5 linked regions of the Callithrix jacchus genome follow. The protein of the gene in region 2 purifies or fractionates together with the protein of the main gene of each other region. This does not show direct contact. Links are inferred from orthologs where the notes say so. Each region holds a gene or a part of one and is shown on either strand. Other genes may lie near its edges. The genes, in order: BCL7A, SMARCD1, BICRA, SS18 and BCL7B.

Region 1 (3,517 bases), about 56 Mb from region 2:
TTGGCTCACTACAACCTCTGCCTCCTGGGTTCAAGTGATTCTCTGGCCTCAGCCTCCCAAGTAGCTGGGATTACAGGCACTCACCAACACACCTGGCTAATTTTGTATTTTTAATAGAGATGGGGTTTTACCATTTTGGCCAGGCTGGTCTCGAACTTCTGACCTCAGGTGATCCACCCACCTTGGTCTCCAAAAGTGCTGGAACTATAGCCGTAAGCCATCTCGCCTAGCCATCCAGGAGGGGTCTGGATACTCCTCCTCCTGGGACCCCTGAGCTGACCCCGCAGGTCCCCCACACCCTCCAAGCACCACAGCTGTCCCATGTGTCCAGGGAGGCAAAGAATTCTGGCACCGGCCTGACCTTCCCCATACTGAGCCAACTGTACCCTGTGTCTGGAGGCAGCCAGCTGGGGATGGTGGCCTAACATATTTAAAACCTTGGGGGGACATTTGAGGCCTCATTCTGGGTGTACAAACCAGATGCCTTGTGTATCTGGGAAGCAATATGGAAGACACGGCATGGTCCGTGAGGCGTGACTGCCAAGACGTTCTGAATGAACGCATCCAGGCTGGAGCTGAGTTCCACTAGATAGGAAATAAAAGGGAGCGAGAGGCAGCCAGGGTAGCACATTCCACGGGACATGTGGCCCCTCCCTTAAAGTCGGTATCGTTTTTATTAAAAAATAAAAAGAGGAGGGGAGATGGACGTCGAATAAAGAAAGCTAAGAGACTCGACTAAACATGATGTATGGGAATTATCTGGATCCAACTTTAACACTTAGGAACTGGGGAATCTGAATCCGATCTGGATTTTAAAGCTATTAAGGAACTGGTGTTAACTTTGTTAGAAGTGATCATGGGACAGTGGGTATACAGAAACGTCATGTTTTTAGCAATGTATGCTGTGATATAGCTGCAGACTTGAATGTCATGAGGCAGGGAAATTTACCAGAAAATGCTTCCATGCAAGCTACATGCTACTTCCAGGACACCTTGAACCTTTACTTTTTGAGACAGTCTTGCTCTGTCACCCAGACTGGAGTGCAATGGCGCAATCTGGGCTCACTGCAACCTCTGCCTCCCGGGTTCAAGCAATTCTCCTGCTTCAGGCTCCCAAGTAGATTTACAGGTGCCTGCCACCACACCTGGCTGATTTTTCTATTTTTAGTAGAGATGGGTTTCACCACGTTCCGGGCTGGTCTCAAATTCTTGACCTCAGGTGATCTGCCTGCCTTGGCCTCCCAAAGTACTGGGATTACAGGTGTGAACCACTGCACCCAGCGACTAGTAGTGTATTTTAATATGTGAATTATCTTTTTTTTTTTTTGAGACGGGGTTTTGCTCTTGTTACCCAGGCTGGAGTGCAATGGCACAATCTCGGCTCACCGCAACCTCTGCCTCCTGGGTTCAGGCAATTCTCCTGCCTCAGGCTCCTGAGTAGCTGGGATTACAGGCACGTGCCACCAGGCACAGCTAAGTTTTTGTATTTTTAGTAGAGACGGGGTTTCACCATGTTGACCAGGATGGTCTCGATTTCTTGACCTCGTGATCCACCCGCCTCGGCCTCCCAAAGTGCTAGGATTACAGGCTTGAGCCACTGTGAATTATCTTTTAATTAAAACATTCGACACACTGAAAAAATTGGTGAGGCAAATACGGCATGTGTTCATGAAAATCAGGGTGGAGGGTATAGGGGAATCGTATTCCTCTCTCTACTGTTCGTGACAACAAAACCCTTCACAACACAAAGAAGAAGAGGAAGGGGTAACTGAGCAATGGCATTCACAGTCGGGCTGGGGGGAGAGCTGGGGCCTGGGGTGCACCTGCCCTTGTCCTGTACCCTGTTCTCAGGCACAGAGAGTCACTCTATTTTTCTGAGATGGAATCTCACTGTCACCCAGGCTGGAGTGCAGTGGCATAATCTCGGCTCACTATAATCTCCGCCTCCTGAGTTCAAGCAATTCTCATGCCTCAGCCTTCCAGGTAGCTCTGATTATAGGCACACACCACCATGCCCGGTTAATTTTTGTTATTTTTGGTAGAGACAAGGTTTCACTACATTGACCAGACTGCTCTCGAACTCCTGACCTCAGGTGATCTGCCTGCCCTGACCTCCCAAAGTCCTGAGATGACAGGCATGAGCCAGCACGCCCAGCCATTTATGTACTTTTTATTTTAGAGACAGGGTCTTGCTGTGTCGCACATGCTGGAGTGCAGCAGCACAATCAGAGCTCAGAGCAGCCTCGAACTCTCAGGCACAAGCCATCCTCCCGCCTCTGCCTCCTGAGTAGCTGGGGCCACAGGCATGTGCCGCTGTCTCTGGCTAATTTTTAAATTTTTTGTAGAGATGGGGGTCTCACTATGTTGCCAGGCTGGTCTTGGACCCCTGGGCTCAAGTGATCCTCCTGTCGTGGCCTCCCAAAGCACTGAGATCATAGGCCTGAGCCACTATGCCAGACCTAGGAGAGTCATTTCAAACAGCAGAGACCCAAGTGGAAGTTTCAAAGCTGATGCAATAGGAAGCAGCCTTTGCATCATAAAGGGCCATGCTGCACCTGGGGCGACGACCGCTTTTGTCAGAATGAGAAAGAGACAGAGACACCCCAACAGACCCGGGTGCCTGCCATATGCGAGGCACTGGGAAAAGCATTTGTGGTCACCTCGTCTAATCCTCCCAGCAACCCACTGGAGAGGCGCCATTACCGCCTTCACTTTCCAGAGGGGGAAACCGAGGCTGGGAGCAGGAGAGCCACTAGCCGGACCCATCTGCCCAGCTCCCAGCCCCATGCCTCTCCTCTACCTCAACCTGCCGAAGAGAGCCAGGCAGTCAGGCAGCCCCACCCGGGTAACTTGGACCTGAGTTTAACTGGACTTGGGTGCGCATTATACAAAAGCATCCTCTTGTGAATTCTAGAACTTAAAAAGGATGTGTGCTCCCCAATTTCTCCTCTGAGAAAATCTGAACTACCTTCCTACTGCCAGCACTCGAGCAAGATGCTGGCCCCATAGGCTCCTGAGGTTGTGTTAATTAATGACAATAAGCACTAATGTTTAACGTCTGGGCCTAGGCTGGTAGCCTGGTAACGGTGTGACCCCAATACTTGGGCTAACTCCAGCTGAGTTAGCTGGAGTTAAGGTCTTGTGGACCAAAGGGCCCAAGGCACCACCCTCTCCCTTCACCTCCTGCTATACATATCCTCCCACTTGAAGCCTTCCAGAAAACCTGGCCGGCCCACACCTTTCCCTGACCTTCCCAGTCACATGCTCTGCTGTCTGATTTGGTTTCAGCTGTACATGCACTAAAATGGAAATGAGAAAGTGGACAGGGACCTATGTTGGGGACCTGGTTTGTTCAGCAGTCTAGATTTTTCTGGAGAGTTTGTCCAGGCCACAAACCTGGATTTTTTTTTTTTTTTTTAAACACATCCTCGCTCTCTCGCCCAGTCTGGAGTACAGTGGTGCAATCTTGGCTCACTGCAACCTCCTCCTCCCAGTTTCAAGAAATTCTCCTCCCTCA
Region 2 (3,517 bases):
GATCACTCAAGGCCAGGAGTTCAAGACCAGCGTGGCTAACATGGTGAAACCCCATCTCTACTAGAAATACAAAATTAGCCAGCATGGTGGCACATGCCTATAATTACAACTACTTGCACGAGAATCGCTTGTACCTAAGAGGCAGCGGTTGCAGTGAGCCGAGATCGTGTCACTGCACTCCAGCCTGGGTGACAGAGTGAGAGTCTTTATGTTTAAACAAACAAACCTGTTTCATTGTTTCAGAGACAGGATTTTGCTACGTTGCCCAGGCTGGATTCAAACTCTGGGGCTCAAGCAATCCACCCACCTCAGCCTCTGGAGTAGCTGGGTCTACAAGGAACATGTTACTGTGCCTGGCTTCCTCCTTTTTATACTAAAATTGACCCCAGAATGAAAGTCAAACAAAATTTAAGTGGTCTAACTTTAAGCACAGGAATACAGGACAGACCAACTTCTACTGACCTAATTTATAGGTTGAGGAGTTACTACTAGTGATGGTTCAGGGCCTTATCTTCTTTTTTAAATCTTCCTCTCTATCATCTTGTAGGTTCAGGGTCAAAAGAAAAAAAAAACCCCTTACTGGAATTAAAACTGAGTAAAGAAAGGAAGGCAAGGAGACTATATCCAACTACAGAGACACACTGCTTTGAGAAGAAACGACTTTTTTTCACTCCCTATCTGCCTAGAAGTGCCTTGCTCTCCATCTTCTAAACAAAAAAGTGAATAGAAGTAATGTAATTGGAGGCTCAGACTTGAATGCTGAACCACCCAGAGAAAAGATGGGCCCTGAGCCCTTCTGTCAGTGAAGACCTGGTAAATGCTTAACAACTGATCTTCCAAAGGAGGACAGGAGGAAGAGCCCAGGTGTGTGGCATCTGCTGATCTCCGGAGCTTAAATATTCTGATTTCAAGCTACCAACATCACATTACTGTTCAGAGTTGGGAAGAGATGTGCAGTAACAGATAAACACATTATATCATATTTCCACCAGATAAAAATAGGCAAATATAACAAGCAAATACAATAGGCAAAAATAACCTCAAGAGCATAAATATAATAAAATGTAATAATGAGGAAGTAATACATTTTGAGTTTATGTTACCCACTTTTAGTCTAATATATTTAATTATAAGTTTATATAATTTAATTGTAAATAACAGCTTTGTTTAACAACCTGTTTGCAAAATTCCTGAAAATTTGACAACTGGCTTGTGCAAGTCGGTAGAAGGCAGCTCCAGCACAGCACTGCATCTCACACACAGGCCTACCTGATGACATGATTAATGATGATAGGCTCTGGTGGCATAAGCAAGGCATGGAGCCGCTGAGGGATCTCTGAAAACTTCATACGTTGAGACTCAAAGATCTGTAGCAAAGGGCAGAAGCACCTGAGGTTAGCATTTTGAGTATAACTAGTAGTCTTAATGGATTCTAGCAAAGCAATGTGTCCATTACTTACCTGCTGCAGGTACTTGTCACAGATGACAAACTCCCGCTCATGAGGATCCTGGAGCTTATGTGTCTTAATATATTGCCACAGTGCTTGGATGATCACTGGACGAGTCTGGGTGTGGATGCCCAGAAGCCGAGCTAGGCGGGGGTCTAATTTAAACTGGGGAGGCTGCAGGGAACCAAAGGGTATATGAAGCCAGTTAGCTGGGTCTATATGCAGTAATACATTCAAGCCATTCAACAAACAATGTAGAGATTTCTCTGGGACAGAAACATTCTAGGAAGAACTCAGAGATCACTAAGACTCTTATCTCTATGCCAAAGTGACAAATTATTCACAATTAGACGTAAACCCTTTAAGGGGAGACTGCTGACTGGATGTGGCTGTGAAAGCTGGACCCCCTCACACCACCACAGAATACCTGGTAATCCAGCATCAGTAGGACAGTACACCGTACATTCACATCTCCCGGTCGCTTCACCTGAAAGCCGTCGGTCTCCTGGGTAGTGGCGGTCCTGTGCCACTACAGAGAGGAAGATGTCAGGGGGTGCTCTCCCAGAGGAAGAGCTGGGGTGGGAGGGAAGAGCTTCTGTAATGACTGAATATTCAACTTTGATTATTGAGGCTACTGGAGAAGAGTAATAGCAATAGCATGAGGCATTTTTAAAAACTGCATATGGCTTTGGGATTACTGTCTGTGTATAAGTAGATTAACCTTTTAATTCTGTTTGTGGTTACATTCAATTAAGCCTGAATGTCCAGTGATAATTTTATCCACAAAATGGCTAATACAGATGTGAACAGTAACATAACATAGCTATCATTTACTGAGTACCTGTGCAAGAATATTCTAAGACATTTACCTGGATTATCACTTTCCAAACATCTATACAAGATAGGCACACTTATGCCTGTTTTACAGATGAGAAAACTAATGTTCAGCAGAACAAAGTAACCTGCTTAGGTCAAACAGCCAGTAAGTGGTGGAGCTGCGATCTGAGCTCTGGTGTGTCTGATTCTACAGTCCACATTCTTAACCACTATACTCTATTGCTATAAAATTAAGTTAAATATATTTACAAATTTCTATTGATTCTATGACTTACTTCCCTTATTAGGTGGTAAAGACCTTTCCATGTCTCTTAGTGGTTGAGGTTAAGGGGCTGCAGCTACACTGGCAAAGAAAGGAGCAGGTTAAATTCACTTGGAGTGCTGGCTGGACTATCATTTGGTTTTGCCTGTATCCCAAAGAATACTGTTGCTAACATGGGCTTCAAAACGGCGTGCAATCAGGCATCTTAATAAAGGATTTTTGGTGAATTGGAATGTAAATCTAAATGGAGCAGAGACCAAGAGGAAGTTCCTGATGGTGACCCTGGCAAGTACTAGTACCCTATCAGTCAATCCCTCTAATTACAGCAACTGCTACCAGGAAAAAGTATGATTGGTGCATGGATAACTACGTCTCACCATCATTAGCAAGCAAGATGCAGAGATGGCCTGGCATGTACAAGAGGCCACCAGTAAAATTTCCCTTGAAAGAGGCCGCAGTGACCAGCATAGTAACATTAAAAGATGAGACGAGTTAGATTACAAGAGCCCTTGGTCCTAACTAAACATGCTAGTGCCACCTAGAGGTCAATGTGCAAACCGTATACCTGGAGTAGTACTGTGTACACCCAGAGTGACTACTTTCTATCTCCCCTTCTTAGACATTCAAATATGGCTCCCAAGTCCATCTCATCCTTCAATCAGAGTCAAAGCCTAGAAGGCAGACTACTCACTTCTACCAGATGGTTGTCTGGCCCATACAGGTCTTTGTCCAGTTCAATCACCAAGGACTTAAAAAAAGAAGAGAACTTCCTCTTTTGTTTAGTGGCATCATATTTGGACAAGGCTGACTAGAGGAGAAAAAAGAAAAATCATGTTAGAAACGGCCAGAAGAAACTTCCCAAGACAAAATCCTATGAAAAAGGAACCCCAACAGCAATGGGAAAAAACTCAAAAATATCTTCTGAATATCTCTTAGGAGAGACAGGTAGGCTTCTGCAGGTATTAAACCA
Region 3 (3,517 bases), on a different chromosome or scaffold from region 2:
TGTGCGTTTTGCTGTGCATTTCTCTTATTTCAAGTAGGTTGAGCAGCTCTGAAAATACTTAAGCCTTCTGTGTTTCCTTTTCTGTGCACTGTCTGGTCATATTTTTTGCCCCTTTTTCTCACCTGTTGTAATTCTTAGTGATTTCTAGAGGCTCTTTATATATGAGAGAGGTTAACTTTGTGCCAGGAGTTGCAAGTATTTTCCCCAGCAAGTCATTTGGCGTATGACTTAAGTTGTGGGGGGTGTGTGTGTGTGTGTGTGTGTGCACTTTTAATGAGAATGAGATTAAAATTTTTTAATGTTTTAGCATCTTTAAGCTTTTTATATTTAAATGACTTCAAATACATAAAAAGTTTCAGGACTAGTACAAAGAGCTCACGGGAGTTCTTTACTCCTTAACAAGACGTGTTACTTATCTATTGCTATGCAGTAAATTACCCCCAAACTCAGCAGCTTAAAACAGCAGGCATTCACCTATCTCACACGGTCTCCAAGCATCAGGAAGCCGGAAGTTAGGAGGTTCTAGCTCTGGATCTTCCATGAGGTTATAGTCATGATGTCAGCTGGGGCTGTGGTCCTCTGAAGGTCCCACTGATCCCACACTCACTTGTGTGGCTGTTGTCAGGAGGCCTCAGTTATACCCTATGAGGGCTCTCCAAGGGGAAGCACATGACATGGAGAGGTTGGCTTCCTGCAAAGTGAGTGACCCAATAGAAACAGATGAGAAGGATCAGGATGGGAGCTGCAGGCTTTTTATAACTAATCTTGGAGGTGTCATGTGATCACTTCCACCAAATTTTGTTGGCTGCAAAGACCAGCAGTGGGAGGGGATTGAATACAGGGAGGTGGGGATTGGTGGTGGCTGCCGCACACACGTACCCATGGTCAGCCTTTTGCTGCATTTGCCTTGACCTTAGTGCCCTTGTTCTGTGTACATTTTTGTCTGAATCAGTTGAGAGTAAGTTGCAGTCATCATAACCATTTGCCCCTTAAATCTGTTCATTTATTTTTGAGTGAGTCTTGCTCTGTCACCCAGGGTGGAGTGCAGTGGTACAATCTTGGCTCACTGTAATCTCTGCCTCCTGGGTTCAAGAAATTCTCCTGTCTCAGCCTCCAGAGTAGCTGGGATTATAGGTGCCCACCACCATGCCTAGCTAATTTTGGGGTTTTTAGTAGAGATAAGGTTTTACCATGTTTACCAGGTTGGTCTTGAACTCCTGGGCTCCAGTGAGCCTCTGTGGCCAGCCTACCCCTGTTTTAGTGAATATTTCAGCCCTTGAGAACAAGGACATTCTCTTGACCATCATGCAGTGAAGAAATAAAGTAGACAGCATAGACACGGGACTGTTGTGAAATCCACTGTCCATAAACCGATTTAGCTAGTTGCCCAGGGATCCTGTAATGTATTCCTGTCGGTTTTCACGTAGTATCAGAGTGCCGCTATGTGCGGGACACCCCCTGAGCCCTTAGAACCTGTCGAGTGGGCCAGCTCTCTTCCCCTGCTCACTCAGCGACGCACCTGCCATTGGTCATCTGAGTCATTTCCCCTTTTCCTCTATTGTAAATACTCCCACAGTGGGTATCTCCATGAGTGAGTACTTCAATACTCTTTATCACAGATTCCTGGAGGGGGAATTTCCAGGTCACAGTCCTGACCCTGTCAAGAGTCCCCAGACCAAGCTGCCTCCCAGCGGGACTGTCCAGGGGGCATCCCAACCAGCTGCACACAGAGCCAGGGGCTGCCCCTCTGATCCCTTCTTAGAGGTGGCAAACCGTTCAGATGTCTGGATTGATTGATTGATTGGGTCGGTTTGGTTCTTTAATTGCCAGAAGTTACTCAGGGCCCAGCTTGGAAGGGATGCTGGAAGGGCCCTAGGACTTAGAGGCCGAAGCTGGTGGTGAGTCTGATGTCATGCTGAGATCCCTAGCTTTGGAGTGTGGGGATGCTGGCTGTCCTGGCCGGGTCCCCAGAGCCCTCTGAGCCTGGGCTCCGTCAGCTTTGAGAAACCACTCAGAAGTCACTGAGTTGTGTAAAGGCTTCAGTTCCACCTTCCCCTGCCTGGAGGGTCTGGACCAGTTTTGGCTCCTTGGCCTCAGTGTCTCATCTGTGAAATGGGTCCAATGTTGCCACTGCTCTCAGGGCTAGGGAGAGATCACACAAATGGGTGTGAGAGGCCAGCCATCCGTGTTAGATCAGCATGAGCTGTTACTAGGGTGTAGATTCTGTGACAGTAAGCGTCGCAGTGCCAGCCCAGTGTTGGGTACAGAGCTGGTGCCCACTGGCTACACAGCAGCTGCTCTGGTTATGATTTTTTGGAGGAGGGTTCAGAGGAGCAAGGTGCTCTGTCTCAGACAAGCTTCAGGCAAGGTGGGTGTGCGTGTGTGGTGGAAGTAACCCCAGATCGCGTGAGCTTGCAGGCACAGGCTTCGGCAGAGTCTGGTGCATCGCGCACAGGCACGCACGCCTGTACTTGCAAGCTCATGTGGTGGCCGGGTAGGCCTGTAGCCATGGCCATACGCACACAGAGGCGGGGGCCCAGGACATATAGAAGGGGGCCCAGGCCTTCCCGTGCCGTGTCCAGAGGTCCACACATGGCTGTGAACCCAGGCCTGGCCCTGTCCCCTCAGTGGCCATCTGTATCCTTGGCAGCCCCCATTCTGTGGCCATCAGCCCTGAGCCACGGTACACAGCATCACGCTGGTGTCTCTCTGCCTTGACTTGGCTGGAGGGGCGGGCGGGGGCTGGCAGCTGGGATGCTGCCCCGCCTGCCCTCCTTCCCCGCTGCTGTGCTCGCCGCCGCCCGCCTGGCCCTCCTGCCTCCTGCTGGGCAGCGGGTATGGTGCCCCTGCTGCCGCCGCCACGCTGCCTCTGCTTCCTCCGCTGCTGCCACCCCAACCCCGCAGGGCTCGCCTTCGTCCGGGGAACTGCTGGGGTGGGGGAGGAATGGGGCAGACAAGGAGGGTGAGATCCGAGGCCAGAGAAATGTGGAGGAGCTGGGTTGCGGGACAGAGATGGGGGCAGGTGGGGTGCACCATGGGGTGAGAGAGGGAGGGAAGGGCAGCCGTAATGGGGCCCCCCTCTCAGGACGGGGTGGGCTAGGAAGGGGGCTTCTGGTGGGGATGGCTGGGGTGCCCAGTGTCTTGGGGCAGTGGGAACCATGGTTGGTTCTGACCCTTGCGCCTCCCCTCTCCCTCCCTCCCCTGCCCAGATCCCAGCAGCGGCTCCACTGAAGGGCCCAGGCCCCTCTTCGTCCCCGTCACTACCTCACCAGGCCCCTCTGGGGGACAGCCCCCACCTACCCTCCCCACACCCTGCTCGGCCCCCTTCCCGTCCACCCTCCCGGCCCCAGAGCGTGTCCCGCCCTCCCTCGGAGCCAGCCCTGCACCCTTGCCCTCCACCCCAGGCCCCCCCCACTCTGCCTGGCATCTTTGTCATCCAGAACCAGCTGGGCGTTCCCCCACCTGCTAGCAACTCGGCCCCTACTGCTCCAGGTCCACCCCAGCCACCTCTCCGCCC
Region 4 (3,517 bases), on a different chromosome or scaffold from region 2:
TTTCTATCGTAGCCATTCAAATCCTGCCATAAAAACACTGACTTCAGAGAAAACTATCAAAAGAGAACAGTAAGTTTTCAAGCTTAAATGAATTCCATCAGTCTGTTATTTATTTATTAATATTAAATTATTAAAACTTTATTTCCATTAGAAATAAAGTTTTTTGAGTACAAATAAAGTTTTTTTTTTGACAACAAGCCTATGGATAAACAAAACAGAAATTTATCTTAGAATTCCTGACGTCTAACAAAACAGCATTTAACTATAATACAAAAATTAAGCTTTATTTCACCCTCTCTTACCAATGAAGATATATCTCTTAAGCCAATGAAGTTACCTAATTTAGCTGCATTACATCTGTTTTCATGCAAATGCAATAAAACCAGAACACTGAATTTACTCAAAGTATAAATACTAAGTAGAGACAAAATGAAAAGGCCATCTGGGAAGGGCAAGAAACTTCCTTCGTGGGAAAAAAAAATCCATGGAATATTTCTAAAGTCACATCTAAAATTTGGAAATCAGAACTTACCATTTTTAGAAAAATACCTGACTCCCCAATATCTGATTGAGTTTCAACACATATGTTGAGGGGGCAAGAGAATTTCAGTCTGACCATAGTTCTAAGATTTGCTATCACAGGTAGACAGAGATGCCCACAGCAACAGCAGAGCTTAAGTCAATGACTAAAAATAATAAGATATTACTAATGTGAAAAAGAGACCCTATTAGGAAAAGATGGAGTCAGTATTCTTAAGCAACTACTTCTTTCAATAGAGCTATATTTAAGATGGTTATAGTAGCCTTAGAGTGAAGATTAAAATAACAGGTCCTCATCATTCCCCACACCCTATCTAATAAGTAAATTTTAAAGTCTGATATCCAGGTTGTAGATATTATAAATGAGTATATATTAAGAAAATACAGCTATACTTCTCCCAAATTCTGCATGATTCACAGCTACAATAAATTCATCCGGATGGATATGCATATTGCTATGTTAACCAGGGAATGACAAAAATGTTTCCTTTATCCATTCTGAATAGATCTCATTTGTACTCAAAAAAAAAAAAAATCAATGTGTTTAAAAAAAAATGTTGGCCATTAGTTTTTAAAAATAAATTTGCTATTCAGATTATACACATATGTTTAATAATTACCCAATCATCAGTTTTCCAAGCACATACAAGGCTACTAGTTAAGCAGGACAAATAGATCTAAGAATTCATTTTTCTTCTTTTAAATGACTTCACACCTTATCTTTGGTCAATGAACCATCTCTGGTTTGTAGTTCTTTTTAAAAAGGTTACCAGTTTATCTAACAGCAACATTTTAAACCACCATTTTAATAGCAGACTAGGCTAAAACTGAATTTTCAAGTAGTAATTATTGGAAAAATAAGTACTAAATATTAAATACCCACTTCCACATTTTAAAACAATCATCACCACATTTTTTGGTGATAAAAATAAACTGTACAAAGCTTTACCATAGCCCTGCTGCTGTCCTGGGTAACCCTGCTGCCCTGGGTACTGCTGCTGCTGGGGTGGATATCCCTGTTGTGGAGGTGGTCCCTGGTATGCATCCTGCTGTTGGCCATACTGTGAATTTCCTAAAGGGTAATTGGAGAAGAAGAAAAAAACTGAGAAGTTTGCTTAATTAACTTTTTTCCCTCTAAGATGCATAGCCAACAACACAAGAACAAAATGAAATGCCATATTGATTTTTAGAAGTTAACAAAACAAAGAAAAAACTCAAACCAAACAGAAGGATATCGGTCAAACAAACTGCAGTTAAAGCCAATTTTGCAAGGTTGAACTGCAGCATTTTCAGCGTCTCTGCCATACGAGCATTACATTTACTGGAACATCACAGTCATAAGATCATGACTATGCTAAATAAAATAAAAAAGACAAAATTAAAGACAGCTACAAGAGCACACACTAGCTACACGAGATCAGCAAGCTGTTTCCTAAAGGCACTATACTTATATGTAAAATTATACATATGTAAACATACACGAGAAAAAAAAGTTGGACTGATGGATTTATGTTCAAATAGAAAATTTCCACCGAGGAAAAAATTATCTTTAATGTTTTAGTCTTTTTATTATTGTTAGAAATGGCAAGTCATGGTTATACATTTTAAATATTTGTAAGGAAATTATTTTGATTGTTTTGGGCTCCCTGTAACTTTCAAGACAGCCAGCAACTAATATTCTACAAGAGCTTTGCATGGGTAGAAGTTGTCTTATGCAAGAATTTTCATTCCTGTAGAAGGGGATATATGTGTATGTGTGTGAAGGTATATAGATACCTCCTTCGTAGTAATGTTGTGAGGAATCCTCATAAGGCCTATCGTAGCCTTGTTCAGGATACGACGGTTGCTGATAACCGTAATCATTATGACCTACATCAATTCGACAAGAGACAGGAAGAAACGTTAATGGCCACTGAGTGAAAACCCTAAAAATATTTAAACTTTCAGATAAAATTGAAAAAAAAGAAAAAGAAATGGAACATAAAAAATTATTTCAATTGCATTAGCCAAAGATTTACCAATGTGATTGTTTTCATATTGAGATAACGTGCAAATTGTTTTAAAGGCAAAAAGCAGTAGTTTTAGAAACATTACACTTATTGTCTTAAATCTGATAATCCTCATTGAGGGGAAAAAAAACCTTTATCTCCCATTAATTAAAAAAAAAAAAGAGAATAAAAGTATCTAGGTCTTTCACATGTAAATAACCTAAATTAAATTAGAATGAACAAAGGAGGCAATTATCCTATTTTGTCAAACACCTGTTCTGCTGGTCTCCAATTCCACAGCATATGCTAAAAACTGCAAAATTTAAAAGAGTTCTGTAAGTTTTTCCCATTATTTCACATTCTAACATTTACTTGCATAAAGTTAAGTATCTCAAAATATCTTCAGATGGAAAATTATGTATCTTAATACTGCCATTTTGGAAATTTTTAGAAAATATTTCAAGTATCATAAATATCCATCTTCATAAAATTAAAATTGTGTTGAGTATGAGAATATATCTTAAATTTTAAAGCACAATAAATTTTACCTGCGAGACAACTGGACTCTAATGAAAAATAATACTCTCACTCTTTAAGTTTCACTAAGAAAATGTAGGAAATAACCTTTTAGTTACCCAAAATCTGAACTCTATTTTACAAAAATGCCTAATTAAGAACATAGGAATAAAGTTACAAATAAACATTATACACGGTGCTCTAGTATTCTAATGTTCCCATGCCACCTCATAAATACCTACATCAAGGGTTGGCAAACTATGGCCTGCAGTCTTACTGTGGCCAGTGGCATGTTTTTGTAAATAAAGTTTTATTGGAATACAGTCATGCCCTTTCATTTCAGTAGAGTCCAAAGCTGCTTTCATGCTACAGTAAGAGTTCAGTAATTGAGACGAAGACCATATGACCCACAAAGACTAAAGTATTTATTATCTGGCCCTTTAAAGAAAAAGTTTGCCAATTCCTAATCTATA
Region 5 (3,517 bases), on a different chromosome or scaffold from region 2:
TGGAGAAGAGCCCTTCCCTTCGCTCCAACGTCTCTACACAGTCCTCCTCCAGCAGCAGCCTACAGGGCCCCCAGCCCTAGGGGAAAGTCCAGGAGTCCACAGTCTTCATTCAAGTTCAAGTAACCCTAGGCACTCTCTCTTCTGGAGGGCGCCTTCCACATCTCTCTTCTCAAGGAAGCTGCCAGCAGCTCAGTCCAGAGGTTCTGGAGCAGAGACTGCTGCCTGGAGGTGACAGATGAATCCTGGGGTGGCCAATGCTCCAGCCAACTTGGGGTGCAAAAGATGTGAGTGCTCCTCTTCTCGGGAGCAAGAAGACACAGGTGCAAGGGACGGGAAGATGACGTGACAGCCCCAAATCCTATGCCAGCCTTCCAGCCCGGAAGGCTCATGTGTGCAGGCTCTCGACCCCAGTGCTTGCCCTTTCCCCAGCAACACAGCGCAGCCAGAACCAGAATGCAATAAATAGAGGCAGGGCCAGGAGGCGGAGGGCTGTGACGGTGCTAGCTTTCTGACGCCGTCTGCGGCACTGTGGGTTGGTCCACACAGAAGCGCTTCAGGGGTGGGGCACCTGAGTCTTCCTCCTCTTCGGCGACCTAGAAGAAGGCAGAGCATGGAATAATGACAGAGCCACCCCTCCCAACCAGAGCCTTACCACCCACCTGAATTATAATAGGATGCCCAACCTGCTCCTTCTCACAAATGATCCATCTTCCTCCCCTGCCTGCAATCCTGGGACTCCAGTTTCCAGCACTGCAGATACAATCCCACATCCACAGTCTTTCCTGTTTTTTGTCTTAGGAACTGGGAAGCCTGGCTGGGCACAGTGGCTCATGCCTGTAATCCCAGCACTTTGAGAGGCTGAGGCAGGCAGATCACTTGAGCTCAGGAGACCACCCTGGCTAACATGTGAAACCCCATCTCTACTAAAAATACAAAAATTAGCCAGGTGTGGTTGCAGGCACCTGTAATTCCAGCTATTCGGGAGGCTGAGGCAGGAGAATCAATTGAAGCCAGGAGGTGGAGACTGCAGTGAGCCAAGATCACACCACTATACTCCAGCCTGGGCAATCCCGTCTCAAAGAAACAAACAAACAAAAAAACCGAAAAACTCGGCCGGGTGTGGTGGCTCATGCCTGTAATCCAAGCACTTTGGAGGCCAAGCCAGGCAGATCACCTGAGGTCAAGAGTTCAAGACCCCAGCCTGCCCAACATGGTAAAACCCCGTCTTAAAAAACACACACACACACACAACTGGAAAGCGCCGAGTGACTGCTTACCTGTGTCTCTAGTGGAACTGGTTCTTCCTTGGTGAGGGTGGGAGGTTCGTCAGCAACTTCCGAGGAGGGCAGGGAGGGCTCTGAAAAGGCAGCAGGGTCAGCCCGAGGGCAGAGCCCCCCTAAGGCCTGGACCTGGGGGAGCTTCCTTAGAGCGGTGTGGAAGTGGCTTGGTGGGGAGGAGAGAACACTGGCCTGGGAAGCGAACATTCACTCAGGGCCCGGCTGGACCAGGCCACAGCCATGAATGGTGGAAGGGCAAAATATGGCTAGACTGCAGAGGGCCCTCTCTACTGGGCTGGAGACATCTGGAACCAACAAAGCAGCTCATCTTGTCATCCTTCAGCCCAAACATCAAGACTCTAACTCAATCTCCCACTTTTCCGAGAGCTGCTATGATGACTCGATGAAGTAATAAACACAGGAGCTAAGAAGAGCGCGTGCTGAATAGCAGAAACGCAATATTCACGACAATTGGCACTTCCCATGGAGAAACAAGTTCCATTTTATAGTCGGCTGTTCAAAGGTCACAGCACAGGAGAAGTTAACAAGGGCCTAAGACACATCTACTTACCCACATTCTAACAAGAAACCTGGGTCAGGCGTGGTTGCTCACGCCAGAGAAGCTCCAGCTACTCTGGAGGTTGAGGTGGGAGGATCGCTTGAACCCAGGAGTTCAAGACCAGACTAGGCAACAGAGTGAGACCCCATTTCTACAAAAAATTAAAAGATACCCAGGCATGGTGGCACAGGCCTATGAGTCTGAGGCAGGAGGATCACTTGACCCCAAAAGTTCAAGACTGCAGCGAGCTAGGATTCAGCCACTGCATTCTAGCCTGGGCAATAGAGTAAGACCTTATGTCTTTACAAAAAACAAAAGGAAAGGGAAAAAAAATTAGCAGGATATAATGAAGACAGCATGAATTGAAGTTAGAAGGACTTAAAGTGACATTCATTCCAGGGCCGGGCGCAGTAGCTCACACCTGTAATCCTAGCACTTTGGGAGGCCGAGGTGGGTGGATCACCTGAGGTCAGGAGTTCAAGACCAGCCTGGCCATCATGCTGAAACCCCATCTTTAAAAAAAAAAAGGTTAAAAAAAAATAAAGTGACATTCATTCCAACAGTTACTAGACTAGCTACGTGATGATCTTAGACAAGCAATTTAACTTTTTTTTTTTTTTTTTTTTGGAGACAGTCTCACTCTGTTGCCCAGGTTGGAGTGCACTGGTCTGATCTCAGCTCACTGCAACCTCTGTCTCATGTTCAAGCGATTCTTCTGCCTTCGCCTCCACAGTAGCTGGGATTACAGGCATACGCCACCATGCCTGGCTAAATTTTTTATATTTTTAGTAGAGATAGGGTTTTGCCATCTTGGCCAGGCTGGTCTTGAACTCTTGGCTTCAAGTGACCCACCCACCTCGGCCTCCCAAAGTGCTGAGATTACAAGTGTGAGCCACCGTGCCTGGCCTGACTGAACCTTTCTAAGCCTTGAACCTCCATTTTCCCTCATCTGTAAAAGAAGACAGTAGCTGCCACCGTGCAGACTTTTGAGGGAACTATACCAGGCGTCAGGTACTCAAGCTCCTTTCACAGAGCCTGGCACTCAACTCCAATGCTTCTTTTCTCCCTTCACTCTGCGAAAGGGTGAAATAGAGTCACTCCTCAAAGTATCCCAAGCTGTGGAGAAACGGCTTGATGCCGCCTGGCTCTAAGGCGTTCTCTCGGACCTTGTCCTCTGAAGATGAGAAGCAGCAGGAGCAGGAGCAGAGCCCTGCTAGGACACTCCGGGCCAATCGCGACTCACCCTCCAGGATCTCCTGACCCAGGGTTGGGGGCTGGGAGTCGTCTGTGCGGAAGTCGGACGTGTGTGCCGGGCTCAGGGACTCACTCTGCTGCGGGCTGGGGCTTGAGTTGGTGCTGCTGTCCACCTTGAGCTGGTAGGCGTCAGACACAGAACTCTGGTTGCTGTTTTCATCTGAAAACCGAACAGAACAAAGGCAGCAGCTGAAAGTGGCCATTTTCCTCAAGAGGAACTCTGGACAGAGCCATGGACCTGGCACCACTTTAGGCAGCCAAGGATACAGGTGAGCACAGTAATCACTGTGCCCAGCCTACACGACATACAGTCTAAACACCAGAGGCAGCCAGAATCTTTACGTTTCTGCAATATTACACTTCAAGAAGGTCAGGCGATGCTTATTAAACCCTTCTTTATTATCCACCGATTAAAACTTACGGAAGG

What was found.
Region 1: the proteins of SMARCD1 (region 2) and BCL7A purify together in Homo sapiens (affinity purification with mass spectrometry; 5 studies listed by BioGRID and IntAct, counting the BioPlex papers as one, with this or other methods). This does not show direct contact. The link is inferred for Callithrix jacchus from reciprocal best matches to the Homo sapiens genes SMARCD1 and BCL7A.
Region 3: the proteins of SMARCD1 (region 2) and BICRA purify together in Homo sapiens (affinity purification with mass spectrometry; 5 studies listed by BioGRID and IntAct, counting the BioPlex papers as one, with this or other methods). This does not show direct contact. The link is inferred for Callithrix jacchus from reciprocal best matches to the Homo sapiens genes SMARCD1 and BICRA.
Region 4: the proteins of SMARCD1 (region 2) and SS18 purify together in Homo sapiens (affinity purification with mass spectrometry; 5 studies listed by BioGRID and IntAct, counting the BioPlex papers as one, with this or other methods). This does not show direct contact. The link is inferred for Callithrix jacchus from reciprocal best matches to the Homo sapiens genes SMARCD1 and SS18.
Region 5: the proteins of SMARCD1 (region 2) and BCL7B purify together in Homo sapiens (affinity purification with mass spectrometry; 4 studies listed by BioGRID and IntAct, counting the BioPlex papers as one, with this or other methods). This does not show direct contact. The link is inferred for Callithrix jacchus from reciprocal best matches to the Homo sapiens genes SMARCD1 and BCL7B.

The regions. Positions count from the first base shown.
Region 1 is NC_133510.1:125,246,051-125,249,567, reverse strand, and holds part of BCL7A (B-cell CLL/lymphoma 7 protein family member A), read right to left. Parts: intron 586-3,517; coding exon 478-585; intron 1-477.
Region 2 is NC_133510.1:69,494,032-69,497,548, forward strand, and holds part of SMARCD1 (SWI/SNF-related matrix-associated actin-dependent regulator of chromatin subfamily D member 1), read right to left. Parts: intron 3,356-3,517; coding exon 3,239-3,355; intron 1,978-3,238; coding exon 1,876-1,977; intron 1,623-1,875; coding exon 1,461-1,622; intron 1,368-1,460; coding exon 1,270-1,367; intron 1-1,269. UniProt on the Homo sapiens protein: Involved in transcriptional activation and repression of select genes by chromatin remodeling (alteration of DNA-nucleosome topology).
Region 3 is NC_133523.1:41,625,077-41,628,593, forward strand, and holds part of BICRA (BRD4-interacting chromatin-remodeling complex-associated protein), read left to right. Parts: intron 1-3,209; coding exon 3,210-3,517. UniProt on the Homo sapiens protein: Component of SWI/SNF chromatin remodeling subcomplex GBAF that carries out key enzymatic activities, changing chromatin structure by altering DNA-histone contacts within a nucleosome in an ATP-dependent manner.
Region 4 is NC_133514.1:69,270,022-69,273,538, forward strand, and holds part of SS18 (protein SSXT), read right to left. Parts: intron 2,410-3,517; coding exon 2,317-2,409; intron 1,613-2,316; coding exon 1,490-1,612; intron 1-1,489. UniProt on the Homo sapiens protein: Appears to function synergistically with RBM14 as a transcriptional coactivator. Isoform 1 and isoform 2 function in nuclear receptor coactivation. Isoform 1 and isoform 2 function in general transcriptional coactivation.
Region 5 is NC_133503.1:10,147,917-10,151,433, reverse strand, and holds part of BCL7B (B-cell CLL/lymphoma 7 protein family member B), read right to left. Parts: intron 3,251-3,517; coding exon 3,080-3,250; intron 1,358-3,079; coding exon 1,278-1,357; intron 594-1,277; coding exon 501-593; 3' UTR 1-500. UniProt on the Homo sapiens protein: Positive regulator of apoptosis. Plays a role in the Wnt signaling pathway, negatively regulating the expression of Wnt signaling components CTNNB1 and HMGA1.